3 linked regions of the Struthio camelus genome follow. The protein of the gene in region 3 purifies or fractionates together with the protein of the main gene of each other region. This does not show direct contact. Links are inferred from orthologs where the notes say so. Each region holds a gene or a part of one and is shown on either strand. Other genes may lie near its edges.

What was found. Proteins that work in one complex are often made in the same cells at the same time.
Region 1: the proteins of SNRNP70 (region 3) and MRPS9 purify together in Homo sapiens (affinity purification with mass spectrometry; 3 studies listed by BioGRID and IntAct, counting the BioPlex papers as one, with this or other methods). This does not show direct contact. The link is inferred for Struthio camelus from reciprocal best matches to the Homo sapiens genes SNRNP70 and MRPS9.
Region 2: the proteins of SNRNP70 (region 3) and SNRPD1 purify together in Homo sapiens (affinity purification with mass spectrometry; 6 studies listed by BioGRID and IntAct, counting the BioPlex papers as one, with this or other methods). This does not show direct contact. The link is inferred for Struthio camelus from reciprocal best matches to the Homo sapiens genes SNRNP70 and SNRPD1.

The regions. Positions count from the first base shown.
Region 1 is NC_090942.1:154,008,364-154,018,938, forward strand, and holds the start of MRPS9 (small ribosomal subunit protein uS9m), read left to right. Parts: upstream 1-5,902; 5' UTR 5,903-5,951; coding exon 5,952-6,035; intron 6,036-7,870; coding exon 7,871-7,918; intron 7,919-10,575.
Region 2 is NC_090943.1:50,584,165-50,594,219, forward strand, and holds the start of SNRPD1 (small nuclear ribonucleoprotein Sm D1), read right to left. Parts: upstream 4,674-10,055; 5' UTR 4,449-4,673; coding exon 4,435-4,448; intron 3,858-4,434; coding exon 3,781-3,857; intron 787-3,780; coding exon 595-786; intron 1-594. Other genes in the region: SACM1L (phosphatidylinositol-3-phosphatase SAC1), read right to left, coding at 8,099-8,235, 9,007-9,064, 9,749-9,841, 9,943-10,036. UniProt on the Homo sapiens protein: Plays a role in pre-mRNA splicing as a core component of the spliceosomal U1, U2, U4 and U5 small nuclear ribonucleoproteins (snRNPs), the building blocks of the spliceosome.
Region 3 is NW_027182627.1:6,793-17,018, reverse strand, and holds the start of SNRNP70 (U1 small nuclear ribonucleoprotein 70 kDa), read left to right. Parts: upstream 1-4,188; 5' UTR 4,189-4,312; intron 4,313-5,159; 5' UTR 5,160-5,170; coding exon 5,171-5,317; intron 5,318-5,414; coding exon 5,415-5,477; intron 5,478-6,549; coding exon 6,550-6,604; intron 6,605-6,706; coding exon 6,707-6,771; intron 6,772-6,859; coding exon 6,860-6,922; intron 6,923-8,310; coding exon 8,311-8,392; intron 8,393-10,226. UniProt on the Homo sapiens protein: Component of the spliceosomal U1 snRNP, which is essential for recognition of the pre-mRNA 5' splice-site and the subsequent assembly of the spliceosome. SNRNP70 binds to the loop I region of U1-snRNA.

The DNA of each region.
Region 1 (10,575 bases), on a different chromosome or scaffold from region 3:
AATTCCCCACATTGTCACAGGAGGGCACACTCTGAGATGTGTTTTCTGGTTATCTGGTGAGCTAGACAGGACTTACAGCATCTACCTCCTATCTATAAATGAATCTTGGGGAGAATATTCTATCTGGAAAACTACTGTTTTCTTCCATTTGTTCTGAATACATGTCTCCAGTACTTTGAAAAATCAATAATGAAAAGTTTATAAATCTGAATAGGTTCAGCAAAGGGAATAACAACAAACTTTCTGTGTGATGAAGAGATAAAACTTCTACTGCTCTGCATACAGACAGGGGACGTTATTTGTACTGCTGGTTCTGTTTTGGACTATTCCTACCAGCTCTACTGTACATGGAAGGTAGCGCTAATCACTCCTGATGTGACTCAGTCAGGGTCACTCAGTCGCTAGGCCAGTCTTTAGGCCTCTCTTACTCAGCAGTACAGACGTTGCCCATGAATATAATGTCCCCTTGGACTCAAAGTTACTTCTAGAATCAGTAATGACATCAGTCTAATTATAGTGATACAAAACACATGATGCAAACCCTAGTCTAAACTACTGCTCCAAATGAGTCTACTACTGAAATACTGAATCAGTAATAAACATATGGCAGCAAAGCCTATGGTAGACAAATGACCAAGACACATTACATAGCCTAGAAGTACTTGCCAACTAAAAATAGGCCCAGACGCTGTGCTTGGATCCCTTTGGGCTGACTCTGGCATTCACGTGGAACAAAAATATCTTTGGATGCGTCCAAATTACATCCATACAAGTTCTCTTTCTTTTAGATAATTGTTTGTAAATTCGAAGGGGGCCACTCAAGCACATAAATTATGGCAAAGCTGGAAGATAACACTGCAGAAAAGAACACGCCCCGAAACGCTTTGTAGTGCCCAAGGACACGTATTAGCTGTGGAAAAAGAAATTCCAACACTCAGACTGTGAAGAAAAGATGAAACAGATGCAGGGCTCTGATCCAAAGCACAGTGAGGTCAGTGTGACTTGGGTAACACCTTCCTTCATGAAGAAGGAAAGCTGTATGAAGGAACAGAAAAGAGGGCACTGCTTTGCAAGCAAAGATGTCTGGCTGTTTGACTCACCTTTACTGTTTCAGTGCCTTCCAAAGCACCTTAATTATAAAATGAAATATGATCCATCTACATTTGGTGTTTTCATATACATTTATTTTTATATTTGATAAATACTGTTGGAATAATGATTCTTGAAAACTCTCTCACAACAGTCTTGACTGACAGCCCACTAAGTGCTGTGCCTCTTATAGCATAATTGACAACTTTCAGGTAGATGCGCTTTTAGTCTATGCAGTGTACAAAACGGAATGCACTTGGCCCACATCTGAAGAAAGTAAGATACAAGACAGTTGTCTTATTACTAGTTTTTTTTTTTAATAACATTAATGTGTTTGCATTTAAGAATAGAACTTTACATAGAAGCTTGCATAACTTCTGGATACAGTAGCCTCAAACCAATGAAAAAAATCTTTGCAAAACAATTCCTATGTCAAAAAGCACACACATACCTTAAAATATCTAGAATGGGAAGAGAATTAAAATACTGGTGAATTCTCTGCATTTTTAGTATGCTTAAAAAAAAAAAAATTAGCTTCTGAAACAGAAAAGGTTTCTGTCAAAGCCACCTTGCTCCAGAACTTAGGTGTTTCTAAACTTCCTTGGGTCTAAAGAGAACCCAGACACTGCCTCTGGCTGGCCAGGAATACCCTCACAACGTAGATGCTCTGCATAGCACCTTTCTGTACCTGCACTCCAACTGCTCAGTCCCTGGAAAAGCACCAGCAACTGGTGTCCATTTCAGTACACGTTCCAGAACTCCAGCCAAAACACTCAGTAAGGAAGAAAGGCATAAGAATGCAAAATAGTTTGTGACCACAACAACTTTAATTCAGAATTCAAAACAAAGTATACTCTTGAAGGAAAAGCCCCCCAAAATGTAGACATTTCTTTCCAAACTGATTTAGATTATGTTATCTCGAGAAGTTTTAATTCTCCTATTACATTTTTCTGTCTTCTGGAGTCCCTTTCTCTCTGCTGCAGGTTAGCTTACTCCATTGCACGACAGCAGATCCTGCTACATCCTCTATGAAAGCTTCCCCTTTTCTCCCCACCTTCAGGTCATCACAGATCAGAAGATGGTATCAGGGAAGCATCTCCATATATCTGTTCTGCCTCTTTGCTCTTCCATAAGTATCTGATATTGCCCATTGCTACACTCAAGCCAAGAGGCTCAACAGAGCTTTGGTCTAACCCAGCACTGCCATTCTTGTAATATCAGGGCTGCATTTATGCTGCCATAAGCTGAAACTCAGTACGCTTTTTGACCCTGCTCCATACATCTCTGTCACTGCTACAGGGATACCTGTTCCTCAAGTAAGTGGTATTCACACTAGCTATATCAGTCACCAGAACTCAGGCTACAAATCTACAAATACTACCTCTGACTACGAAACGACTCCCCGAAGCTCACTCCAAGACGGCCTACACGTAGGCTGGCAATGTGAGCAGTCGGCAAATTTGAACTGAAGCACAGCCCTGAGTTTGCGCTCAGCATATAACTACGGACATCCTCCTCAGGCTATCCCCTTACCCATGCACATGCCAAGCTCATCCTGGTTTCCTTTTATGTATTTAGTGATTTTTTATTTCAAATTTCTCATGGCCAGCACACAGAAGCACCAGTTTTCTTAGTGTCAAACCGTCCTTGAAAGATAGCACTCCAAAGCTCTTATTACCCCAAATGATGTGCTCGTTATCTAGTCTAAAAATAAAAGCCAGCAACGTGCTGCAGGCAGCAGCTCCCAGTTATGTGACTGTGTAGAGTACGATTAGCAAGTTACATGACTATGTGGGTAATAAGGTTCACAACATGAACGAGTTCCAGGAGTTGAACATTGCCCAGCTAGGTTCAAAAGGATATTCCTGCCACGCAGGAGGCTAATGATGTGCAGAGGGCTAAGCCAAGTATCAAGATAGTTTGCATGGATTAGGTAAGCATCTACAGTCTGTCAACTAAATACAGAGATGGAAAGAGAAGCGTTTGGAATTAATCTTGGGATAAGTAGATTAGACATGGTTTTTCTGTATTTTCTCCCTCCCTCTGCCTTAATAAACTTCTGAGAGAGGGCTGGGGAAGCAGGGGCTTGAGCATGTAAATAACTTCCATGCACTTTTATCTTAGCCTGGCTTGTGCTAAAAAGTGATTTCTAATTTGCAAACACAGACTCATTCCTGCAGGAGTGGCAATTCTTCCACTAGAAAGAATCCTTCTGGAACACACTAACAGTGTGTTCCAGACATACACTGTCAATAACATGACAGCACATTTTCATCAAAGCATGCCAAAGAATAACTACACTCAGCTGTATTTAGCTATATGCCCAATCTAGAAACTGGTAAACCAGGCATTGCTGTAGAAGAAATCTTCCAGGGCCAAGTATTACCCACGTAAACTTCTTGACAGCAGCAGGATGGTTGGGAAATGTACCTGAATCCAAGGATTTGTAGGAAACTTCTATCAAAATCTTTCATCTTGAATGGGTAGCCATAAATTTATAAGAACTAATCACTCTAAAGATTCAGAAAAGACAAAATATGGCCATTATCATTGAACACTAGACTCCAGATATACTGAGGTCTCCTTTCATTCAGCAATTTTTAAGGACAATTTTATATTCATAAAATATTTGTATTATTCATATTATTTCATACTGAAACCATTGGCTGTATATAGACTCCAAACATCATTGAAAATGTGGTCTAGACTACAGTAACATTTAGTTTTATTTCACAGTGGCCACTGGTGTAGATGGAGTCTTAGGGAATGCGGGGAGTTGGATTTATATCAAGTGGTTTCGAAACACCTGTGGCCAATGCATGTATAAGGTGGCCCTGCTACTCAAATTTAATTAACAGCTTATCATGTCTGGAGAAAGAAAACAGTTAATTCCCATGGCACATTGTTTCTATATTGCTGCCAGTAGTAACAGGTAACAATTGCTTAGCATAGTGAGGACTGAGGAACTCCTCAGCTGCTGAACAAAGCCAAGCAATGAGGCAACAGATGGTAGACTCACCACAGTCCTTGAAAAGGCTGTGCTATCCACAGCTTTCTGTACCCCTTCAGCTCTGCCGGCTACTCCAGGAGGTGGGTCACCGGGACTGTTAACCCTAACCTAACCTCCTTTTCTCCCCTTTTGGAAGAAACAGCTGCTAACCAAACACAATCGCTACACAGTGTGTTAATGGAAATATGGCGACAATTCCCAGTCCTTGGTCAGGTGAGCATAAAACAGAGCTATTTTGCCTCTTTCACTCAGTGCAGAATTCATACCATTCACTGATTTGTATCCATGTCAATAAAAATACTGATGGTTTCATTTTCACAGTTGGTGACCATAAACAGGGCTTTCCAGACAGCTTTTCCTTGACCTCCCCGCATGGGTGGATTCCCTTGTCCATTTCTGGTTTTCTTATACCTTCTTTTACATCCTAGGAAGGAAATCATACTCACAGTTGAATGGAAGGAAGCAAGAGCCACCAGTGAACAGGCTGAAAAAAACAAAGTGGAAAAGCAAGAGATTCATCTGCAGAATTTCCTGTCAAATAACAAGTGCTCCTAAAGATATGGCCTGATAAGTCTGAAGTAGAACAAACTTTAAAAAGAAAAGAAAGTTTTAGTTCATTTCCAGACACTTTTTTGTGATATAAAATACTATTGCCAAAATCTGATCACCTGTAAAGGTATATACTACATAACTCTGTGAAACAATAAACCGTCTCAAATCCTGAAGGTTCAGGATGTAGATTAACGTCACCTTGGGAGGCAACAGTATTGATCCCAAAACCCAATTTGGCAAGAGACAACTGTGATTAACAGAATATGTATTTGTATATGGAAAAAAAAAAAAAAAAAGCAAGGCTAGGCTGAAATATACTTTGTGCTTCAACTCTCAAGAGTAGCAGGTTTGCACCAGGTATGCTACAATTGACAACACTACCGACTTTAAAAAGACACCTTCTTTTTAGCTTTATTCCTTAGACTGGAAGTTCACTGGGGCAGAGTCAATTTTATGTAAGTATGCCTGACGGCTACTGCTGATTTGGTCCCCAGTCCTACCATAATACAAATAACACACCATAATTTTAAAGACCAGGCAGAGTTCTAACAATGCTAATGTGCTTTACTTGTCAAATACATTTCAAGTTTCAATACATAGATATGCATAAGCCAAATATTCAACAAAAACAAGAGCCTAGGTAAAAATCTAGTTCCGGGGCCTTAAAACTAGAAAAACACAGTTTATCATTTTTGTTTGGAGAATGGAAGTTAACTACACCACCTGTTTTACCACTGCTTTAAGTAACTACACTCGGTATCACCTTCAACAGGGTAATTTTTTTAAAAAGAAAAAAAACCGCTATCTCCCCCTTCGCTGAGACTGAAAGCAAATGAAGCCCTCTATGGTTGGAATGTCAGCACACTAGGGGCGGCACCTGCACGCCCGCGCAAGCCCCTGGCCTTCACCTTAAAATCTAAACGCGGGTTACAAAATTGAGCGGGCTCTGCCGTCGTTTACGGAGCGAAAATAGCCACTGGCACTGACTGAGGCGCTATAGGGCCAGGACCGCCGCCGAGCTCAGCACGGCCCTCCACCCTCGCCCCAGATGGGGTCGGGCCGCATGGCGGCAACCCTCAGCCGCGCTCAGGAGCGGCCCCGAGGTGCTGGGACACAGCACGACAAACTCCTGCCGTTAACGGCCGCTCTGCCGCGGCACAGCACGGAAGACACCCACCCGCCACAGCGCGCAGGCGCGCGGCAGGCCCCGCCCCCCAGCCAATCAGCGGCGCTCAGGCCCGTCGCCGACGGCTGCGGCGCTGTGCCTTCTCCCCGGCGGCCTGCGCGGGGTGCCGCGGGCATGGCGACGGTAGCGGCCGTTGGGCGCGTGCTGCGTCTGGGCGGCCGTTGGAGCGCGGCGGCGCGGGACGGGCCGCGCGCGCAGGTGAGAGGCGGGCCGGGCCGAGCACCTGGGCCCTACTTCGAGAAACCGGCTCCTTCGTGCTGTCTGCCCCCGCTCCGGGCCCTGGCGGGGGTGGGGAGCTGGCTTGTTGGGCCCGGGCTGCGGCAGCTCGCTCTCCCCTTCACACGGGGATGAGGGCAGGGCTGCCGAGACGAAGCGGGGGGAGGCGAGCCCGGTGCGGCGGGCGCGGGCCGGGCGGGAGCGGCCTGGCGAGGCGCCGCCGCGGGTTCGCGTCCCCGGCGCGGCTGGGCGGGGGCGGGGCGGCAGCGCCGAGCGCCTGGCGGGCACGGTGGGGTGGGGTGGGGGGGTGTTCCCCTAGACGGGGTGACACCGCTCTTCTCTCGGAGTGCCCCCTCCCAGTGGGGCAGCTGTCGGTCCGCAGTGGTGCCGAGTTTTTGTACTGCTCTCTGTCTCTGCGTGGCTTGGTTCAGCGGTGGCATTGTAGGGCATGGGCGGTTGGTGTAAACGGGGTTTAAACAGTTAGGAGCGTGCACAGAATTTGCGTTGGTTTAATGGGTGCGAGGATTTACAGTGTGGTTGCTGGCCTGCTATAGCTGTCTGCCCATATGCTTGCTTCTCGCACCAAAGTGAGGCGTTTGTGTCTCAGTAAGAGCGGGCCAAACTAAAACTTGTGTGCTTTCACCTCCCAGTAACTCATGAAATGTATTTACTGGGAAGAAAAGACATACTGTAAATACACATGTAAGTGTTTAGCACAGCTTTAAGCCAGCCACTTTAAAGTCAGTCCTACAGTTAACCTACTTATTTTTTCTTAATATTTCTATGTAGTTAGGGCCTGTTTTTATGTATGTTACTAGAATTAGGAAAGCTAATGTATAGAGCAAGGCCCTAAACATGTGTAAAAGTACTTTTGATTTTCCTGAATAAACAATAATTTTTAAGGTTGACTGTCTTGAATCGTGTTTGGTCAGCAGATAGCTAGATAATGCAATTTCCTGATTCCTGCAATGGAGAGAGAAATGTTTTGCACAGATGCAGCAGTTTCTCACTGAAGAGAATTATCTGCTTATTTTGAGAGACACCAGTCCTCAACAGAGTACCAATTCATTAAATAGCTTAACTGCTGTCAGTGTTGAAGTGATAATTGTGTCTGTGGTATTTGATATACCTATATATATTTAATTCAGTGATCAAAAAATGGATATAAAGGCAAGCTGGTAACATTTTGAAGTTACAAGGAAATTTAGGATAGTAAGGGCTGAAGAACTTTTCAGTGACTGACTATGGGGTAACAGAAGATAGGTCTGTTAGGTATGCGAAAGGTAATACTGGAAGGAGCAAATTGAACTATTTACTTTTTTTTTTCCTCCTTTTCTCCTCTAATATTAGATTTAACCCATTCAGGATAAAGACCTGGTGTCCATGTGAGTAGTTTCTTATGCAGCCGTCAGAAATTCACATGCTGAAGTTGTATGAGGAATGAAAAAGAGAATAAGGTTGAAAATGTAATGCTTGATGTAGTTTTCAATTTAAGCATCTTGTTTGGCTTTGGTTATCCTCTATCAAAGATAGGATTATGGCAGTAACTTAGTTTTCCTGGTCAGACCCCTGCTTGAATTTGAGCTGAAATCTTTTTCTATCATAATTGAGGAAACAGTATCAAAGCAGGTCTCGAAGAGGCCTTGAGAGATCATTCGTCTGCTTCTTCCATCCCCAAAAGGCAGGATCTATACTTAAGCCTGTAGCTATGTATGAATCTTCCTATTTTGTACGGTCTGTGAATTAAAGATATGAAAGGAACTAATGGGAGGCAGGGCCCAGGAAACTGACAGATATTTTTTTCATGTGAAATGCAGTTGACCTGTGGAACTGTTGTAAGGATGTTGTGGATGCCAATCACTTATGTGAGTACAAAAAAAATCAAACTCAATAAAATTCAATTGAGGACTCCTAAATTAAAAGATACCAGCATGTCTTTGAACTGAAGATTGTTGGAGACCAGGGAAGTGTCCTGGATAAACATCGCTACTTGTTTGTCCTGTCTTTGTGGCTGTTGTTGAGGACAAGGTACTAAGCTGACACACCTCTTTGACCTGCTGTGACCATTGCTTATGTTAAGTGCCTACCTGTCCTTCTTTATGATGCGTATCCTAAATATCCCTTGCTGGAATTTAACTCATTACTTCTCATCCATCTTAATGTGGAAAATAGTTTAATTTCTTGTTGACTTTTCCTGTGTTTGAAAACTTCTTGTATTGAGAGAGGAAATGGAAGAGAAACTCTGTAATTCAGTTTCCTCAGCTACGACTAAACAATAGGTCTTGTGTCCTATCCTTCTAATAAGCAAAGCACAATTAGACATCTAGCCCAATTTATAAAGAAAATAAATGATCTAACTCGGTTACTGTCTGTCATTTGTGTTGTGATTGCGTAGCATTCTTCTCATATGGTTCTCTGAAATCTTCTGCTGAGCTATTGCATTTGGCTGGGTCTGCTCCCTTATCTAAATCACTGTGGATGGTATATGTGCTGAGATCAGAAGGGTAGTACCACTTGTCACTGCTGACAGTATACCACCGGTATACCACAACTATATGCTTGGAAGTAGCTTTTTTGCCGTTGGTAACTAAACTAGAGTTGAAAAGCCTGTTAGTATTTCATAACTTGTGCCTCAAAACAACCAGATCTAAATCCTATTCCCCATTATGCAAGCCTGATGCTTGAAATGTGTCTCTGTGTTTAGAGCTATCTCATATTTCCATAGCATACAGTATAAACGAAACCTGAAATATTGGGTTTGGTTCAGTGTGCACGGAAAGTAGACTTTCTGTGTGGGAGAATACTAGCTTTGCAATTACCTCTCAGGAAATCGTTCAATTTGAGTAAAAGTTCCTTCTAATGAAATACTTTGGCATATCTGATAGGAAAAGTAACAGAAAATCACTTACCTTATTTTTTGACACCTCGTGATACTTTCTGTTGTGTTTTACAGTATGCTTATTAAAACATAACCCTGATATTGATCCACCTAATTAATTCATAGGCCAGCTGAAAACTGAGATCATGTAAATATTGTATTTAAGTTAATTAAAACACTTTTAAAAACAGTACTTTAGAAAGACAAAAGTTTAGGAAGTTTGAACAGTCTGTTTTTTTAGAAACTCAGGATTGTTCTGAGCATTTATGTTCTGTATGATATTTGCATAACGTATATGTTTTTTCTTGTATAGTGAATGACCAAAGGACTGCTGTTTGTCTGCCTAGTTCTGCAGCACTAGCTGCGTTCGTAATCTAAGCTGAGGGACGCAAGGCATCTCTAGTTCCGCGCTGGTGTGGTTCTACATACAGCTCTGCGTCTGCTGATTAAGTACTATCACAAAGATAACTTCTTAGCACACATCTAGTTGTGTGCTGCATGGTTTTGGAGAAGGAGTTGGTTGAAGTCTACTAAGCTTAGAGCATGGAAGCAGTGTGAAAAGATCTACAGATATATATATATATTTATATTTATATATACACATGCCACATAAGTTGACGTGTACTCCCATCTCTTTTGGTAGCTATGTGTCTTGACCTTGAGTCTTCCCCGTCTTTGTTTCCCTTTTCTTCCCAATCCAAAAGTACAGGAAGATCGATTCTTTGTTATTAGTGATATGCATTGGTTTTGCACCCATTTCACCCTACTAAAGCAACATTATTGTGACAGGAGTAAGCAAACAGGTCCTAAGTATTTCTCTTCTTGGGAAAAAAACTTGATATTGTCTGAAAGCAGCTAGTCTTTCTGACGCAATTTTTTACAGAAGCTGATTTTCTATAAATGTCGGAAAATCGGGCTTTGCCAAATTGTTTTATTACTAAGTAATGGGAGGAAGTGTTTAATACTTGGGAATTCTAGCCAGAAGTAAGGCTTTCCCTTCTCCCCCATGCTAGTGGAACAGTATTATTTCAGGAATACTGTTAATCTCCATTATTGTTTAAAAAATGGAGGGGCTGCTGTCTGCAATAATGCTTCATGAAATGTGTAGTAAGTAAGTGCAAACCTCTGTGGTTTCCTCTGGAAAGTAGAGGAGCGCACTTTCTTGTTCAACCGAAATGCCAGAAGCATTTGGCTCTGCTTTGCAGTTCTTGCCCATACCACCCATGAAATAGTACCTTTATCCCAGAAGAGGTACCCAATACAATAGATGTTAATTTGCATAAGAGGCTGTTTTCTAGTTATGAACAGTTTGTGTGTCCAGGGACTTTTGATTAGTGGTGAATTGAAACTAGGGAAGAATATGAATAGCTTGAGGGAAGGAGGACAAAAATGAGAAAATTACAATAGAAATTGACAACAATAAGCTGAAAGCAGTCTTTTTAAAGTATCCTGCTTAAAGCATAGTAGAGAGAAAGCAATTTTGGGCCAAGTAATAAGGAATCATATGTTCATTAACAAGAATTACAAGTAATTAGTTGCAATTAAGACAAGTAAGACAGAAGATGATTCTCTTTTCCTGGAGAGTATCTAGGAGAGAAGAACAGGGAATATGTAGAGATACCTTACTCTAAGGGAATCAGTAGA
Region 2 (10,055 bases), on a different chromosome or scaffold from region 3:
TACAGTGGAATGCTGGAAAACTACTCATAGGAATATAGCGTAGACTTGCTGCGATTCTCAATTCCCTCAAATTCAGTTATCCTGCAGTTTATTTTTATCCACTTACCAAGCAATATTTCAACTAAGCAACCAGCACTGTTCAAGGTGCCATTTGGTACTTTCTTATTAAGCTATATGAAGTTCCCCATACAAAAGTAGAGAAATGTAGCAGATATTTTGAGAGGAGGAAACGCAAGTCTTTTTGGTGCCACCTCTGAAAATGTGATAGATTAAGATTTCCTCAAGCTTAAAAATATTTGCCTTTTTTTTTTTTTTTTTTAAATGCAGACATATGATGAGCTATATACATCATTTCACACAAAAGGAAATTTTATAGATGCTAAGAAAGCAGACTTAGCAGCATCCATATCAAACCATCAAATAAAGATGAAAGAACTAGCTGCCAAATGCAGAAATTAAAATATTCTAATTAGATGTTTTACAGGATGACTGCAGAGTCAAAGTACTAAAACGCATACGCTAACCCGAAGCCAGCCAAAACCACTGTTGTGTAGCGCGGAACAAACAAAGGAGACTAGGGAATCACAAACTAACCTGCTTCTCTTTTCTTGGATTTGACTTTTGGTTCAACATCCACTAGCAAGGTATCCAGAGGCAAACTGTCTGGCAGAATGAAGTAGCGAATGTTATTCCCTCGAATACTCAGGGTCTCCAGCTGTACAGGCTCTCTGTTCTTCAGCGTCATTTTCACCGCTTTGAGATGCGTATTCATACTGACATCCACTCCTGAAACAATAAAAGTCTCATTTCAGGGATGAAAGTATACAAGATGATCGCTCTTGGTACAACTAGCTGTTTTTTAAAGTATATACCTGCTTCTAGATGTATGCTGTTCATTAACACTCACTTCTGGATCTATGCCATTCACTAATTAAGCATCCAAGTGAATGTAAACACATGTCTTTTGTCTCTTAAATTATGCTGGCTCATTTACGAGTAGCTGTCCTCAACAACTCACCGCACATTTTTTGATGGAAGAACCATTTACTGCTATCTGTACAATATCATTAGAAATCTTTATCTAGATTTAAGACAGGCATAGCAGTTTTGTAAATGATTAAAATGGTTCCTTTGCGCAATAAACAAACTACCACGTATTACAGAAGTCTAATATTAGCCTTTTTACTTTAAAAAAGGCAAAAAAACCTCTGACGAGGAAGAAACTGATCATTTCCTCTTTCTGTAAGCTTTGAAAGAAGTCCAGCTGTCAAAGCATCATTCATTTTCTGATAAAATACATCTTATACTTGTGTACTGTCTTCTTTAAAAGTATGTAAAATACACGATGGTAAGGGAAAAGCACTGTGGTTACTAACTCAGTGCTGAAGAGCTGACGTACAATAATTGTTTGCTCTCCCATGGAACCGGTACTGTATCCACAGTAACATGCATCATCCAAAACTGAAAAAAAATCTCAGTTGGGTGCATCTACTGAGTAACAGCCGTAAGAAGCACCATCGCTCAATTCCTACATTAATTTTGGTTTTGCACATCAGAAGCCTTGCATGGGATTTGATCTCTAACTACAATCAAAGAGAGATCTTAATTAGATCTCTAATTAAGATCAAAATGAGAGTAATTTTTTCAGAACAGAAAATTCAGACAAAAGGTAGAAATTATAATTTACAAAAAATCCGCTAATTCAGTGACAAGGCACCCCACATGAGCAAAATTTTAATGTATTCAAAGTGTGTGAACAAACAGCTCTGTGAGGTAAAAGCAACTATTGTCTCATTTCAAAAATATGGAAAGATAAAACTGAAAGACAAGTGCTTCATCAAGGCAAATAATGTAAACGAGTAGCAGACCAGAAATAGGACCACTGTTCTGTGCTTATGCCTTTAAATGGTTTCATAATTTTATGAATTCAGCCTAATCACCAAAGGAGCTTAGCAGAGCTCCAAAGTTCACAAAAAATGCACTTGTGACCTCCAAGTATTTCTTCCATCCCCCCACCCCAATCCTAGATTTTACTTAAATAAAACAGTTCTCCAACATCTGTAATCCACCTGACCTGTCCCCTTATTTGTGTAACGTATGCGTAGCATAAAGCTCGCCCCTTCAGCATGCTTGCTCTGGCCAAGCATCTCCTGATACACCAGGAGATACTACATTTTGCAGATGTCACAGCAAATATTAACGTGGCTCATGCAGCAGTGTAAAGGGAAGAGTGTCATTTTAGAAACATGGGTTCCATTCCAAGTTTTTACAGATTCTTAGCATGACACAAGGCTTTGCTCAATAACTAAGCCTGCAAGAGCACCAAGGTCAGACGGAGACGTTCTTCATTTCCCACCTAGTCGGGTTCAATAGAGCATGCTGCAATCAGAGTATCAAGATGGTACATTCAGGTGCTAATCAAAGCTGATAGACCTGGCAGCAGAATAATGCCACGTTCAACAGATTTTAACCCTGCCAAACTTCAGCACATTGCTACTGACCAAAAAGGAACTTCAGCAATCGCCAGGAATACAGCTCTGCCAAGCGTGAACTTTGCTACAAATAACGTCAGGGCAGAAGAGCTTCTAAAAGCAGTCTAGGGTGCAAAGGAGACCAAGAACGTTCCTCAACTTATCCGCAAGGGTTTGCTTTAACAACAGCACACCCCATAGACCTGATTGCCTCTGAAGTAATTCTAACACAAATATTCTCAGAGCAACACCAGTCTCTGACATTATGAAAAAAACAAAACAGTCCATGCGTTTTTAAATATATAGGAAGCTGAGTTTGAAAGGCTTACCCCACAACTTTCAGTTCGGTGACATAAAGGAACGCATTCATTTTATAAACTAGCACGTTTTATAGATTTACCCCTCCCTGGACATTAACGTTCACAAACTTAGATTATTACATGATAAATCATTGGCAACAGCTACGAACCAGATTCTTTACACCAGGATTCCTCTCTGCCCTGTATCCCTCATCAAGCTGTGCGTTTTCAAATCAGTTTCAGGAAATTAATGCAAGCGTACCTAAAGATGCATTCCTATATAAAGTCACCTTAAACAGAGCAAAGCTACACTCAAAATAAATAATTTCCTTCTAGATTAAAATCATCTACAGCGTACTTGGACTGACTGAAGACTACGTGAATGCTTAACATTTGCCATTTACCTACTACAGACACAAAGAAATCCTCTGCTGGTGGCTCTACTATAAAGTTCTTACATGGCTATAGTATACCAGTTTGATAGGGAGCTAGAATTAGCTCACCAACATTATCATGCTGCTAAAATTCTAAGACTAGATCATTCTTGCATCAGATTTGCTCCACAAAACAGTCTGCGTAGGTTTACTTCGTTTTCCCCTAAGCCTACTTGTAAGCAGAGCCCACAGGACCATCCGACTTGGAGGCTCCCAATAAGTACTACAATCAATCCACTATCTCCCAGCAGTGCTTATGAACAGATGGCATATTACGCTGTTGATATAGTTTGTAAGTTTGACTGCAGGTGAACTGGCCCTGATACCAGGCCAAAGATGATGGTGGTGTGTGGTAAGCCGACTGGTCAAAGCTCTTCACTGTATTTTTAGTAGCTCCTGCAAACGCCCAGACTCTTCTGCAAAAAACACACTTGATACTCGTAAAAGGATACGAACTAGAGGGTCATCATAAGAAAGAGTACAAAACAAAAAAGCCCAAGCCAAACCACAATTGCCAATTATGCGCAGAAAAGGAACAGCCGGTATTTTGCTCTAGTCTTTACCACCATGTCATACCTGTGATAGTTCCATGCACCTGCGTCCCATTCTTCAGCTCAATGGTCACAGTCTCATGACTGAGTTTCATGAGAAACCTAGAAATTAAAAAAGGTATTTTTTTTGTTTTTTTGTTACTCCCACATAAAGCCAACATGGGTTATCACATAACATTCTCTACTAGAGAACACTGATGCACGTCAGGGCCCACACCTCTCACGTTTACCAAGAAAACGCTTCCAGATCTCGCGGGTTCTACCGAAAACGTTTATTAAGGCACTGCACGAGCGCAAGACACAAGAAACCAGACGAGGCGCGACCCCTACCCGACCGGGAGGAGCCGGGACACCGCACAGCTGCTACCGACTTCAGCACCCTGCCCCGGATACTGCGCTTATCCGGAACAAAGAAGGAAACGTTTCAGCGCTTCTCAGTACCGCCAGAAAATAATTTCTGGCTTTCCCCCCCAAAAATCAGGGCTTTCTGAGCACTCCAGCCTCCCCCCACCCCACCCCCGGCATTCAGGTCACGGCGGAGCCGCCGCCCGGCGGGGGGAGGGGCGCCCGCGAGGCGACCGTTAGCGCGGCGACCGTTAGCGCGGCCCGGCGCGAGCGCGGCCGCTTCCCCGCCTCCGCCGCCAGGCCCGGCCGCCTCCATCCGCCTCCATCCGCTCACCTGACGAGCTTCATGGCGGCCGGGCGGCGCCTTCAGCACGCAGCGGCGGCCGCCGCGCGGGGCAGAGGAGAGGCCCTGGGCGGGAGGGCCCGGGCGGCGGGCGCGGCGGAGGCTGCTGCGAGCAGGCCGCGCCGCCACTGGCGCCAGGAAGCGGCAGCCGCCGAGGAGAATGAATGAGCGGAAGCGGCGCCGCGCAGGCGCCGGAAGGGGCGGCCCCGCCCCATCCCCCAGCGGGGGAGGGGGGTCAGCGCATGCGCAGTGCGCAGGGGCGCGAAGGCAGGGAGCGGGCGGGCGGGCTTAAATAATGATTATTATTTTTGTAACATTAAAAGAGGCCAGGATAACAGTCTTTTCCAAACCAGCCGGTAACAGGGCTCGAAGCACAGCTCGAGATTTTTCCCTCTATGCAGTACCCACTGCCACGATATTAAAAAAAAAAAAAAATCACACACACACCACCCTCAGCAAAAACCTGAGGGTTGAGGTAAAAATACATTTTTATATAAAGTGTTTGCTCCCATAAAGTGACTGTTTATGCAACATTATATGACGCAGGCCCTAAGGAGCAGCTGGGGGGCAAGGGAAGGTTATGCTGGGTGGTAGGATTTCACCACAGGGAAGCCAGGAAAGAGCAAGGGCCGTTTCTTTCCTTTTCTTGATTTTCCTTTTTTGCCTAACAGTTTAATGACAGGGGGAGAAAAGAAACAAGAAACAAGAGTGTAAATATGAAGAAAAAAAGAATTAGATTTAAAAAAAAAAAAGAGCCAGATGGAAGTAGATTCACAAACAAATGCTGCTGAACTTCACATTTTGTTCTGGGCCAACCAACCCTACTTGTAGGGCACGGAGCTCTGCCACTACATTTGCCTTACCTTTCAGGCAATTATTTCAGTATTTTCCCAAGTTGCTTCCCAGTAAAGCTGCTCTAAACTTAAAAGTCTACCCCTCTCCCCCCACAAAAGATGACAAAGTTTAAAAAGAAAAAAAAACAAGTTCTTTCAACTAATGGCTTCAGGACCAATTTTGTTATACCAGTATACAATTTTACTAGCAATCATCTTATATGATTGTGCACACCTAGTCATCTAGTGAAGCTTGATCCTATTTAAAATGTCAACACTACACTCAAACTATTATTTCATTAGTCATTCAGAAACAGCTTGTTCAGAACCTCTGCATTTAGACAAGTGCATTTGACTGTTTCCAACAGGCCAGCGGGTTGCTCTAGCAAACTGCAACACAAGCATGAAAAAACAGACTTAAAAAAAAAAACCCTCATGCCTATCTGCAGTGAGGGAAGGAAAAAGGATAGTGACTTGAATTTTCACTTTGAGGGGCTATTATTGTCCACACAAAAAAAAAAACAACCCAATACAACAAAACAACCCACCAAACTAGTGTTGGGAAAGTACGAGAGCCTTGAACACTGAGAAGAGGTGAGGCTTGCGCTTAATCTCAAGAAAAATCCACCCGTAACAGTTCTCAGAAATGTAAGATCCAGAATTGGCACGGAAGAGCAGAACACGATGCTAATGAAAATGCTTGGTGCTCAGTGCAAGATCGTCAATATTTAAGCACAGAAACAGCAGGATATTTACCTGCTATGAACCGCAACAAATCGGAAGCATCTTTCTGGTGGAAAAAGACCTTGAACCATTTGGAAAAAGTCCACTCAAAGCACAAAACACAACTGACAGTATATAGAAAAGTTGGACATTTTATTGTCATTTATGAGTACACCATTTGTGACTTTAGAAATACAGACTCTTTGCAAAGCACTGAAATACAGATGCCCTCCAACTTTGAAAACCTACGTTAGTCTATGTCTTACAACGTGTTTATACTAGCAATTCAAGTTTGGTCTTTGTTGCAACGGGTTCTTCACCGAAGACGCAGATATCTAGTTACAGACTGCAAGACAACTGAACCAAGTTTCAAATGCCACCTGCCAGTGAGCCATTTAAAAAAGAAAAAATACCCAAACCCCCCAAAACAGTACTTTTAGATAGTCTATGATGTTCTTATACTTTATATCCATTATGGAGTTCATGTTTGAAAATTTTAAGTTAGAGGATTTTCCAGTTAACTGTCTCAACTGGTATTTCCATTACAGCATCTAAAAGCAAACAGATACTTTGCAATTACTAGTGCTTATGAACAGATTACCTTTAAACAAAACCCAGAGAGGCCTCCAGAAACATTCAAGGTTAAAATGAACAGTTAACAATTGCAAAAATCTGTACATATTTTCAGTCATAACACAATGAAACACTGCAGTATCAGTGTTTTGTGTTCTCGCTTCAACAGTGAGAACTGTGCTAGCCCTAGTATTCTACATGTTTCTCCCTTCTCCCCATTTAAGCTTTATAACCGCAATCCGAATATACAGCTGTACTTACAGGAAATATTAAACAATGCACAGCGCCCAAAGCAAGTTTCACGTCTGGTTTTGAACAAACCATATAAAATAAGTGACAAAATAGTTTAAAATTGGTCCTTGATTAGGATTACTTATTTTTATACAGCTTGGAAGCACTAAGTTTAAAGACACACATTCATGGTTAACCAGCACAAGTTATTTTGTAGCTTAGTTTCTTGTTTTTGTTTTTAAGAGTGTGTTACAACATCATGCACGAAAAGCAAGCTGTTGCTCCCAAGTGCAAACATGGGGTTTTGCCTAACGCTTTTCTCCTCAGGTTGTTACTCCTTCTTCCATAAATTATTCTAACATAACCAAAAAATATAGAAGCAGCTGACTAGCAAAATAATATGAAGTTCATTTTTTTTAATCTTGTGACCGTTCTTAAAATAATGGTGTACTTTGGACCTTTAGCATAAGGAGGGTTCAATAAACACTGCAGAGGAGTCTACATTCTTTGATTTCATTTACGTCTTTAGAAAGAAGGTTATATATTTTAACTCACTAACTAATGAATCATCATCTAAAGACTGCAGTATTGAAACAGTGCAAGACATTTGCAATTTCAGAAGCATCCAAATACACTGTCCTTTCACCCAAACAATGATTAGTAGAATATTGCATCAGTCCTAGATAAGACAGGGTGCAAAGCTTATTTTAGAGGAGAAGCATTAGGATTCAACAATCCTTTATGTTTAGTGAAAAATACATAAATATGCACAAAAAGACTCCTTAACGTGGACTTTAACAAATGTAATCCAGCTGTAAATCTAAGAACAAGTTACTGCTATTAAGCCATATTGCTCAAAGAACATGATTAGACCCCTCTATTAATAATACTCCAACACCTGGATAGGTTGACACATGAACAGAATGAGGGCTCTCTCCTGTCAAACCAGAGATCAAAAATTCAGATGAGACTACCCAGGTGGACTGCGAACTTACGCAGTCCATTTATATCTTGTAACACTCCAGACGCCACAAAGCTGGCTTTCATCTTTGAATTATCTTGGTAAGGGTGGAGCCTCCTCCACTAATGCAACATTCCAAAGATCACTGCAACCAAGACTGTAGAGTCAGATCTCAGCTGAAAGCTACCACGAAAGACGACGATTCACTTTCTCCCCGTGCTGCCAAGGATGAACGTTAAAAAGACCACTATTTGGTGTGGAAAGCAGGTCAGTAGAGACTCCAGGTGTGGCTTGAGGAATCCTCTGTACCAAGCCGCTTTCCACACACACAAATTCAGTCCATCTTCTCTTTCTGGACCAGTTTGGGTGCATCTACAAAATCCTTGCCGTTGTAAAGGATGATAGCAAAAGTTCCAAAGCTTGCACTTCCCCAGAACAGTACATAGGCCAATGTCTCAGTCCATGTATCACCTGTTGAGAGTCGATAAACACTTCATGTCATTATCTCTCATTACCTATAAGAGTATTTTAATACAAAAGCAAAATAGTTGCCCAAGCCCTCCCACAGAGATCTGCCATCAAACGTTGAAGTTGAAAGCACGTCCACAGGTACTAGGGTCTTTTGTTATACTATGTCATACCTCCTCTCCTAGAGGTTGACAAGCCACAATTATTTGTTCTTAAGCTAGCATTCTGCTGTTTGCCACACACAACTCCAACAGCACTTTAAACACAGCTACAGAGGTCACGGAGTCAAGTACTCCATTGGCACTCATGTTATAAAATTCAAGGCAAAGGCAAAAGGCGAGAACTCCACAATTTGTCACATGGATTTAGATCAAGGGGGGCTTCTTTCAGACCAAGCTTACACCAACATCTGCCTTATCTGGATTGACTTTCTGCTCAGAATTAGGTAGGTATTTGTGAAGGGATTCATCCAGCCTATAGCAAAGCCAGACATCCAACTGAAGTGCAACCGACTAAATGTTGGGGCAATTAAATGACACCTAAATTACTTCTACTAATTTTAGCTTCATTTTCTATAGTACCTCAGGTTTTTCACATTAATGACGTAGTGCTGACCCTCAGTCTCCAGAGCCATGCTTGGAGACCTTTTAGTATGACTGAGAGGCAAGCAAATATATACTAAATAGTTTCTAACACCCATTTATTAAAAGAAACAAACAAAAAACAATATACAAGCAAGCTAATTTTGTGAAGTCAAACTAAATAGTGACTTACCAGCCATTAGCAAACAAATAATGCACATAGAGAAAGCAACCACCATAATAATCGGTAACTGAAGAAAGAGAAAAAGAATAATTACATGATATAATAGAACATGTATTACTTAATATCCTTTAAGATTGGTTGTGCTGCAAAGCTATTTACTTGTCTTGCAATAAGGTTACTTCAATTATTGAAGTACAAGTGTAAAATTTTGGATGACTTAAAACTTGTAAAGGTGTGTTCAATAATAAGTTCAGAACTAAAAATGTATCTTCTATTATATTAGAAGAGGGGTGAACTTTTTTTTTTTAAATATAAATACATGAACCACCAATTCAACCTCTAATATCCCCACCCCATTTCACTACATGATATACACGGGGGAGGACGGCAAAAAAATTAAGATTTCTTCATGTTACACTCTACGCTTCTGTATGAAGTAGAAGATGAGATCTTCACAAGCTTCTTCTACTAGTCCCCATCAACAACTGTTTCCTCCTGCAGAATTTCTCCCTTTCCACTTGATGAAGCAGATTTAAAAAAAGCAAGCAGTTTTTCAATACCTCAAGGACACTCCATTTTCTGTCAAGGGAACAGTCTGGGTTTAGTCCTATAAGCGGGTATCATAGAAACATAACCGGATTATAGGGACGCTCCATTACTAAACAGACAATTTCTACTTAAGTCTTACTGAAGCAAGTAACTAAAAGGTTACATCTGTTTCTCCAAGCATGAGCCAAATCTCCATACTCACAGCTAAGAACTTCCAATCTTTCTTGACATGTAGAGGACTAGCAGGTTCTACTTCATCCACTGAATAATTACCAAGAAAGAGATCAATAGCATCCTGGAGAAAAAAATAAATAAATAAATAAATAAAACCCACAAGAATTTACAATGCACAGCAATGTTTAAATATATTTCCCCATAGTTAGAAGTTCAACTTACTTGTCTAAATCCATCAGAAAAGTTATTTTTGTAGTAACGTATTAATGAGTTCCAGCCATCCATAATTAAGCCCCACTGAGTTCTTTTTCCAGTTCTGTAAAAAGAAGTTTTGA
Region 3 (10,226 bases):
GGGATCTCACCTGGTGATGGGGACCCACCTGGTGATGGGGAACCTCCTGGTGATGGGGATGGGATCTCACCTGGTGATGGGGACCCACCTGGTGGTGGGGAACCTCCTGGTGATGGGGATGGGATCCCACCTGGTGGTGGGGACCCACCTGGTGGTAGTGATGGGATCTCACCTAGTGATGGGGACCCACCTGGTGATGGGGAACCTCCTGGTGATGGGGATGGGATCCCACCTGGTGGTGGGGACCCACCTGGTGGTAGTGATGGGATCTCACCTAGTGATGGGGACCCACCTGGTGATGGGGAACCTCCTGGTGATGGGGATGGGATCCCACCTGGTGGTGGGGACCCTTCCCTAGTGAGAGTAATGGGGGGACCCCACTGGTGACAGGGACCCTCCCAGGTGCCACCTTACAGCTATAGGGCACTCCCTTAAGCCCCTATGTAGAGGGACACCTGGGACCTCCTCTAAGTCCTTGGAGGTCCCAGGTGCCCCCCTACAACTATGGGTCACCCTCTTAAGTCCTTGTGGGTCCCAGGTGTCCTCCTACACCTGTGGGTCACCCCCTTAAGGCCTTGGAGGTCCCAGGTGTCCTCCTACACCCATGGGTCACCCACTAATTCCTTGGAGGTCCCAGGTGTCCTCCTACACCCGTGGGTCACCCCCTAAGTCCTTGGAGGTCCCAGGTGTCCTCCTACACCCGTGGGTCACCCCCTAAGTCCTTGGAGGTCCCAGGTGTCCTCCTACACCCGTGGGTCACCCCCTAAGTCCTTGGAGGTCCCAGGTGTCCTCCTACACCCGTGGGTCACCCCCTAAGTCCTTGGAGGTCCCAGGTGTCCTCCTACACCCGTGGGTCACCCGCTAAGTCCTTGGAGGTCCCCTGCCCCCACCACCCCCCACCGTCGTCACCGAGGGATCCCCACCGCCGCCGTCCGCCTGTCACCGTCCGCTGTCCCCGCGTCACCCAGGGGTCCCCGCCGCCGTCACCGCGCCAGCCCCGGGGAGGGGTTGTCCCCCACCGCCGCCCCCCGGGTGTCCCCCACCACCGTCCGTCCCCCCACCCCCCCCCGTCACCGGGGCGTCCCCGACCGCCGTCCCGCCGCCGGCTGTGTCCCGTAAACACCCGCCCGGCTCCGACGGTGTCGGGTTCCCCCCCCCCCCGCCACCAAAACACCCCGCGGGCTAAAAATAACGAGGTGGCGACGGCGGTTCGGGGGGGGGATGGGGAGCCCGGACGCCTGGGCCCTCTCCCGTGTCCTTCCCCCCCCCCAGCCGTGACACCCGGCCCCATAGCGGGGGTGGGGGAGGGACCCAGGCGTCCGGGCCCCGTCCGCATGGGCGTTGTCACCCGGCGCTACAGGGTGACGGGACTGTTGTTGGGGTTGCTGGGGGGGGGTTGTCACCCCGGTTGCTATGGCTGGGACAGGTCACGGGTGCTGAGGGGGGGTCGTCACCGCGGTTGCTAGGGCAAGGACAGGTCATGGTTGCTATGGTGAGAATTGTCACCCTGGTTGCTAAGACAAAGGTAGATGAGGGTTGTTGTGGGTACGTTGTCACCCTGGTTGCCGTGGGGGGGATAGCGGTTGTCACGCGGTTGCTAGGAGGTGACGGGGGGCTGTTTGCCTGGTTGCTAAGAGGTGACAGGAACAGTGTTGTGGTTGCTATGGGGGGGTCGTCACCCTGGTTGCTATGGCAGGGATAAGGTGGCTGTTGCTATGGGAGGAGGGTCGTCACCCTGGTTGCTAGGGAGGGGATGAGGTGGTCACCTCGGTTGCTATGGGGAAGGTCAGGGGTCACCACCCCGGTCGCCATGGAGGAGGGGTCAGAGGTCACCACCCCGGTCGCCATGGAGGAGGGGTCAGAGGTCACCACCCCGGTCGCCATGGAGGGGTCAGGGGTCACCACCCCGGTCGCCATGGAGGAGGGGTCAGGGGTCGCCACCCCAGTCGCCATGGAGGGGTCAGGGGTCACCACCCTGGTCACCATGGAGGAGGGGTCAGGGGTCACCACCCCGGTCGCCATGGAGGAGGGGTCAGAGGTCACCACCCCGGTCGCCATGGGGAGGGGTCAGAGGTCACCACCCCGGTCGCCATGGAGGGGTCAGAGGTCACCACCCCGGTCACCATGGAGGAGGGGTCAGAGGTCACCACCCCGGTCGCCATGGAGGAGGGGTCAGAGGTCACCACCCCGGTCGCCATGGAGGGGTCAGGGGTCGTCACCCCGGTCACCATGGAGGAGGGGTCAGAGGTCACCACCCCGGTCGCCATGGAGGAGGGGTCAGGGGTCACCACCCCGGTCGCCATGGAGGGGTCAGAGGTCACCACCCTGGTCGCCATGGGGAGGGGTCAGAGGTCACCACCCCGGTCGCCATGGAGGAGGGGTCAGGGGTCGCCACCCTGGTCGCCATGGAGGGGTCAGGGGTCGTCACCCCGGTCGCCATGGAGGGGTCAGAGGTCACCACCCCGGTCGCCATGGAGGAGGGGTCAGGGGTCACCACCCTGGTCGCCATGGAGGAGGGGTCAGAGGTCACCACCCTGGTCGCCATGGAGGAGGGGTCAGAGGTCACCACCCCGGTCGCCATGGAGGGGTCAGAGGTCACCACCCTGGTCGCCATGGGGAGGGGTCAGAGGTCACCACCCCGGTCGCCATGGAGGAGGGGTCAGGGGTCACCACCCTGGTCGCCATGGAGGAGGGGTCAGAGGTCACCACCCCGGTCGCCATGGAGGGGTCAGAGGTCACCACCCTGGTCGCCATGGGGAGGGGTCAGAGGTCACCACCCCGGTCGCCATGGAGGAGGGGTCAGGGGTCGCCACCCTGGTCGCCATGGAGGGGTCAGGGGTCGTCACCCCGGTCGCCATGGAGGGGTCAGAGGTCACCACCCCGGTCGCCATGGAGGAGGGGTCAGGGGTCACCACCCTGGTCGCCATGGAGGAGGGGTCAGAGGTCACCACCCTGGTCGCCATGGAGGAGGGGTCAGAGGTCACCACCCCGGTCGCCATGGAGGGGTCAGAGGTCACCACCCTGGTCGCCATGGAGGAGGGGTCAGGGGTCACCACCCCGGTCGCCATGGAGGAGGGGTCAGGGGTCACCACCCTGGTCGCCATGGAGGGGTCAGGGGTCGCCACCCCGGTCGCCATGGGGAGGGGTCAGGGGTCGTCACCCCGGTCGCCATGGAGGGGTCAGGGGTCGTCACCCCGGTCGCCATGGAGGAGGGGTCAGAGGTCACCACCCCAGTCACCATGGAGGAGGGGTCAGAGGTCACCACCCCGGTCGCCATGGAGGAGGGGTCAGAGGTCACCACCCCGGTCGCCATGGAGGGGTCAGAGGTCACCACCCTGGTCGCCATGGAGGAGGGGTCAGGGGTCACCACCCCGGTCGCCATGGAGGAGGGGTCAGGGGTCACCACCCTGGTCGCCATGGAGGGGTCAGGGGTCGCCACCCCGGTCGCCATGGGGAGGGGTCAGGGGTCGTCACCCCGGTCGCCATGGAGGGGTCAGGGGTCGTCACCCCGGTCGCCATGGAGGAGGGGTCAGAGGTCACCACCCCAGTCACCATGGAGGAGGGGTCAGAGGTCACCACCCCGGTCGCCATGGAGGAGGGGTCAGAGGTCACCACCCTGGTCGCCATGGGGAGGGGTCAGAGGTCACCACCCTGGTCACCATGGAGGAGGGGTCAGGGGTCGCCACCCCGGTCGCCATGGAGGGGTCAGGGGTCACCACCCTGGTCACCATGGAGGAGGGGTCAGAGGTCACCACCCCGGTCGCCATGGAGGAGGTCAGGGGTCACCACCCCAGTCGCCATGGAGGAGGTCAGAGGTCACCACCCTGGTCGCCATGGAGGAGGGGTCAGGGGTCGTCACCCCGGTCACCATGGAGGAGGGGTCAGAGGTCACCACCCCGGTCGCCATGGCGCCCCCAGGGCCCCCCCCCTCCCGCCGGTTGCTAAGGAAGGGGTCTCCCGCCCTCAGGTTGCTATGGAGGGGGGGGCGGGCCCGTCGCCTTGACAACAGCGCGGCGGCGGCGGCAGCGGCCGGGGTGGGGGGGGTGGGGACTATATTGCCGGCAGCGGCGCGGCGGAGGGATCCGCTGCCTGGCGGCGGCGGTTCCGCGTCCCCAGCGGCGCGCGCGCGCGGGCCCCGCCCCCTCCCCCCCCCCCTCCTCCGCCCACAGCCGCCGGCGCCCGCAGCGAGTCCCGGCGGCGGCGGCGCGATCCGGGGGCCGCGGTGATGCGGCCGCGCAGGCGCAGAGCGCGCGCAGCGGCCAGGCCGGAGCAGGCGGAGGGAGCGCGAGCGCCCGGGGGGCCGGTGCGGCGGGTGCGGTCACGTGGGGGGGGGATGGGGATGGGGGTGGGGGGGGCGGTGTGGGGCCGGGGCCGTGCCGGGAAGGGGGCCTGGTGTGGGGCCGGGGGGGCCGGAGGTGCGGGGAGGGGCCTGGTGGGGGGCCGGGGGGGGCTGTGTGAGGCCTGGGGGGGCTGTGTGGGGCCGGGGGGGGCTGTGGGCGTGGGGAAGAGGCCTGGTGGGGGGCCGGGGGGGGCTGTGTGGGGCCGAGGGAGCTGTAAGGGGCCGGGGGGGGGCTGTGGGTGTGGGGAAGAGGCCTGGTGTGGGGCTGGGGGGGGATGTGTGGGGCTGGGGGGGGCTGGAGGTGCAGGGAGGGGCCTGTTGTTGGGCCGGGGGGGCTGTGTGGGGCCGGGGGGGGCTGTGGGTGTGGGGAAGGGGCCTGTTGTGGGGCTGGGGGGGCCGGAGGTGCGGAGAGGGGCCTGGTGTGAGGCTGTGTGGGGCCGGGGGTGCGGGGGGGGGCCTCTATGGGGCCGGGCGGGGGGCTGTGTGGGGCTGGGGGGGCCGGGAGTGCGGGGAGGGGCCTGGTGTGGGGCTGTGTGGGGTTAGGAGTGCAGGGAGGGGCCTGGTGTGGGGCTGGGGGGGGCTCTGTGGGGCTGGTGGGACTGTGGGTGTGGGGAAGGGGCCTGTTGTTGGGCCGGGGGGGCTGTAGGTTTGGGGAAGGGCCCTGTTGTGGGGCTGTGTGGGGTTAGGAGCGCGGGGAGGAGCCTGGTGTGGGGCTGGGGGGGCTCTGTGGGGCTGGGGGTGTGGGAAAAAGGGGTCCAGGGGGGCTGCGTGGGGCTGGGGGGGGGGGCGCCACTCAGTCACAGGGTTTTTTTGCCCGCAGTCAGCCCCAAAATGACGCAGTTCCTGCCCCCCAACCTGCTGGCCCTCTTCGCCCCCCGCGACCCCATCCCCTACCTGCCCCCCCTGGAGAAGCTGCCCCACGAGAAGCACCACAACCAGCCCTACAGCGGCATCGCCCCCTACATCCGCGAGTTCGAGGTGCGCCCGGCCCCGCGGCCCCCCGCCTGGCCCCCCTATACCACCCCCTATACCACCCCCTATATCACCCCCTATATCCCCCCCCCCGTCTCCGCAGGACCCTCGCGATGCCCCGCCGCCGACCCGCGCCGAGACGCGGGAGGAGCGCATGGAGCGCAAGGTAGGTGCCGCCCGCCCCGCCGTGGGGTTTTGGGGATCCCCCCTGCCCGCCGAGGGGCTGCGGAGCACCGTCGGCCCCCCAAAATCGCGGGATTTTGGGGATTCGGGTTGGGTTTTGGGGCTGCTTCACCTCGACGTCGCTCTCTGCGTGACCTGTGTGGGTTTTGGGGCTCCCCCCGTGCCTGTCATGGGGTTTTGGGGCTCCCCCCGTGCCCGCCGTGGGGTTTTGGGGTTCCCCCCGCCCGCCAAGGGGCCGCGGAGCACCGTCGGCCCCCCAGAATCGCGGGATTTTGGGGATTCGGGTTGGATTTTGGGGCTGCTTCACCTCGACATCGCTCTCTGCGTGACTTGTGTGGGTTTTGGGGCTCCCCCCGTGCCTGTCATGGGGTTTTGGGGCTCCCCCCGTGCCCGCCGTGGGGTTTTGGGGTTCCCCCCGCCCGCCGAGGGGCTGCGGAGCACCGTCGGCCCCCCAAAATCGCGGGATTTTGGGGATTCGGGTTGGATTTTGGGGCTGCTTCACCTCGACGTCGCTCTCTGCGTGACTTGTGTGGGTTTTGGGGCTCCCCCCGTGCCTTTCGTGGGGTTTTGGGGCTCCCCCCGTGCCCGCCGTGGGGTTTTGGGGTTCCCCCCGCCCGCCGAGGGGCCGCGGAGCACCGTCGGCCCCCCAAAATCGCGGGATTTTGGGGATTCGGGTTGGGTTTTGGGGCTGCTGCTTCTTGATGTCGCTCTCTGCGTGACCTGTGTGGGTTTTGGGGCTCCCCCCGTGCCCGCCGTGGGGTTTTGGGGCTCCCCCCGTGCCCGCCGAGGGGCCGCGGAGCACCGTCGGCCCCCCGAAATCGCGGGATTTTGGGGATTCGGGTTGGATTTTGGGGCTGCTTCACCTCGACGTCGCTCTCTGCGTGACCTGTGTGGGTTTTGGGGTCCGCCGTGCCCGCCGTGGGGCTCGGCCTTGGGGTTTTGGGCTCTCCCCACCCGCCGAGGGACCCCGAAGCACCACCGACCCCCAAAATCGCGGGGTTTGGAGGCTGGCGGGCGCCGCGCTCCCCTCTCCGACCCCCTCTCGCTCCCCGCAGAGACGCGAGAAGATCGAGCGGCGGCAGCAGGAGGTGGAAAACGAACTCAAGATGTGTAAGTGGCGCCGGGACAGACGGACGCTTCCGGCTTTTCCGTCGGGGGGGGGCAACCGGGAGCCGTTTTCCGACTGTTTTCCACCCTTTTTCCTGCCCCTAGGGGACCCCCACAACGACCCCAACGCTCAGGGAGACGCCTTCAAAACCCTTTTCGTGGCCAGAGTGGTGAGTGCGGGGCTGGGGGCTGCGAGGGGGCTGGGGAGGGGGCTCCGCCGTCGCCCCCCCCCCAGCCCGCGCTCTCCCCTCCCCGCAGAACTACGACACGACGGAGTCCAAGCTGAGACGCGAGTTCGAGGTCTACGGCCCCATCAAGCGGGTGAGGGAGCCGGGGGGGGGTCCTGGGGGGGCTCTGAGGTCCTCTGTGGCTCGCTGGGGGTCCTGGGGGGCAAGCGGGTTGTTCGGGCTGGGGCAGGCGGCTCGGTGGGGGTCCTGGGGGGCAAGCGGCTGATTCGGGACCAGGGCAGGGTGCTTGGTGGGGGTCCTGGGGGGCAAGCGGCTGATTCGGGACCAGGGCAGGGGGCTCGGTGGGAGTCTTGGGGGGCAAGTGGCTGATTCAGGACCAGGGCAGGGGGCTCGGTGGGGGTCCTGGGGGGCAAGTGGCTGATTCAGGACCAGGGCAGGGGGCTCGGTGGAGGTCCTGGGGGGGCAAGCGGCTAATTCGGGACCAGGGCAGGGGGCTCGGTGGGGGTCCTGGGGGGGTAAGCGGCTGATTCGGGACCAGGGCAGGGGGCTCGGTGGGGGTCCTGGGGGGCAAGCGGCTGATTCGGGACCAGGGCAGGGGGCTCGGTGGAGGTCCTGGGGGGGCAAGCGGCTAATTCGGGACCAGGGCAGGGGGCTTAATGGGGGTCCTGGGGGGCAAGCGACTGATTCGGGACCAGGGCAGGGGGCTCGGTGGGGGTCCTGGGGGGCAAGTGGCTGATTCAGGACCAGGGCAGGGGGCTCGGTGGGAGTCCTGGGGGGCAAGCAGCTGATTCGGGACCAGGGCAGGGGGCTCGGTGGGGGTCCTGGGGGCAAATGGCTGATTTGGGACCAGGGCAGGGGGCTCGGTGGGGGTCCTGGGGGGCAAGCGGCTGATTCGGGACCAGGGCAGGGGGCTCGGTGGAGGTCCTGGGGGGGCAAGCGGCTAATTCAGGACCAGGGCAGGGGGCTTAATGGGGGTCCTGGGGGGCAAGCGACTGATTCGGGACCAGGGCAGGGGGCTCGGTGGGGGTCCTGGGGGGCAAGTGGCTGATTCAGGACCAGGGCAGGGGGCTCGGTGGGAGTCCTGGGGGGCAAGCAGCTGATTCGGGACCAGGGCAGGGGGCTCGGTGGGGGTCCTGGGGGCAAATGGCTGATTTGGGACCAGGGCAGGGGGCTCGGTGGGGGTCCTGGGGGGCAAGCGGCTGATTCGGGACCAGGGCAGGGGGCTCAGTGGGGGTCCTGGGGGGCAAGTGGCTGATTCGGGACCAGGGCAGGGGGCTCGGTGGGGGTCCTGGGGGGCAAGCGGCTGATTCGGGACCAGGGCAGGGGGCTCAGTGGGGGTCCTGGGGGGCAAGCGGCTGATTCAGGACCGGGGCAGGGGGCTCAATGGGGGTCTTGGGGGGCAAGCGGCTGATTCGGGACCGGGTCAGGGGGCTCAGTGGGGGTCCCGGCGCGGAGGTGGGTGACAAACAGCTCGCTGGGGGTCCCGGGGTAGACAGACAACCCATCCCGCCCCCCCCCCAGATTTACATGGTGTACAACAAGCGCTCCGGCAAACCCCGCGGCTACGCCTTCATCGAGTACGAGCACGAGCGGGACATGCACTGTGAGTACCCCCCCCCGGCCCCCTTCCCCCTTTTTCCGCCTTCCCCCTTTCAACCGCACCGAAAACAAACAAAAAAAACCAAACCACACATTTAAAAAAAAAAAAAAAAGGGGTGGGGAAAAAACAACCCCAAAACCCGAGACAACCGAACCAACCAAACCAAAAACCAAACCAAAACCCGCATGTTTTCACGCCTGTCGATTGCGCCGTGCGGTCCCCGGCCCTCGGGTCCCTCGAGGACCCGGCTCGGCGCCGCAGGTAAGTACGCAGCGGGCACGGCGCGGGGTGGGGGGGGGGGCCAAAAAAAAAAAAGAAATACCCCCGGCACGGCTTCATTTTTCCCCACGGTTTTTCCTTTCCTCCTGCTTTTTGTTTCGCGGCTCCGCCGAGGAGACAGGCGGGGGCGAAGCGCAGCCCCCTGCGCCCCCTTCACTCGCTTCCCCCTCTTTTATTTCTTTTCAATCGTCCTCCGGCTTTTTTTTTTTTCCCCCCTTCTCGGGGAGGGGGGGGCCCGAAGCGCCTCCGGCCGGCGGGGCTGCTTTTTTTTTCCCCCACTATATTTAAAAAAAAAAAAAAGCAGGGTTATGGTATATAGCGAGATATATGTGTTTTGAAAGGAGCGGCGCTCTCGGGGACGCCTGTCGCGGGCGGCGTGTATTAACTCTGTGTTCTTGTTGTCACTGCAGCCACCTTTCTGATGGCTATTGCCACTGCTGGCTTGCAGCTGATCCTTATGCTTCCCCCTTACAACACCTCAGTGTATGGTTGGTATAAGGGTTTGTATGCTTGGTAAGACTACACCGTTCCCCACCCTACCCCGTCCCCGACGAACACCGCGACGCACACCCTTCAGGCAGGTAGGGGCTCCCTTAAGCTAACCCGCCGCCGAAGGAGGGGGGGGAGCACGGAGGAAAAAGAAAAAAGGGTGTTTTTTTTTTTCGCCCCCCCCCTTCCTCGACGCCGGGACACCGCCGTCCCGACGCCGGGTGGGTGTTAAACCCTCGTTTCGGTCATCCCGGCCGCTGTTGTTTCGCGGTTCGGAGAGGTGTTTGTCCTCCCCGCCCCCCCCCCCCTCCCAGCTGGGGTTATCCCGTTTGGGAATCCCGGTGGATTCGGTACGCTGCGGGGGGTGTCTCCTTGCCCCCCCCCCCCAAAACACCCGTTCGGCGGCGTTTAGCCCCCCCCCCCACCGCTGCCACCGCACACGCGTGTGGCTGGCGTGATGCAGCCGTGTCCCCGCCGGTGCGTGTGTGTGTCCCCCCCCCCCACATCCCGCACCCTCTCGGTCTCAGTCTCTGCTGAGCCGGGGGGGCCGCGTGGCCCCCACTTTGGGGGGGGGACAGGACCGAATTGGGGGAACCCCCCCCCCCATTGCCCCCTTGGAGCTGATTTTTTGGGGGGGGGGAAGGGGGGGCAGCAAGGCAGGGCCGGCCCCCACCACCAGGTTGTTCGTTAACTCGGCTCGTTAGCACCTTCCTGTCCCCCCCCACCCCGCATGGGGTGGGGGTGTGAGCGGAGGTGACGCGTTGCCCAAAATTATTGGGGGGGGGGGGGTAGGGTGCCAACGGCGCCCCACCCCCTTTGCCCCAAAAAATACAGCCGGCCGGGGACCCCCCCCGCCCCGAGCCGGGCTGTTTGTGTAGGGCCTACAGCGTCGCGCAGCTCCCCCCCCCCCCACAACGCCGATAGCATCCTTTGGGGCGGGGGGGGTGTCGGGATTTGGGGGGGGGGCCGTGGTGGGCCCCCCCCCCCAGGGTGGGGACAACCGGCCCCCGCGGTCCCCGGTGACCGCGGGCGAGGGTGGGGGGGTTGTTGGTGGCGGTGGGGTGACGAG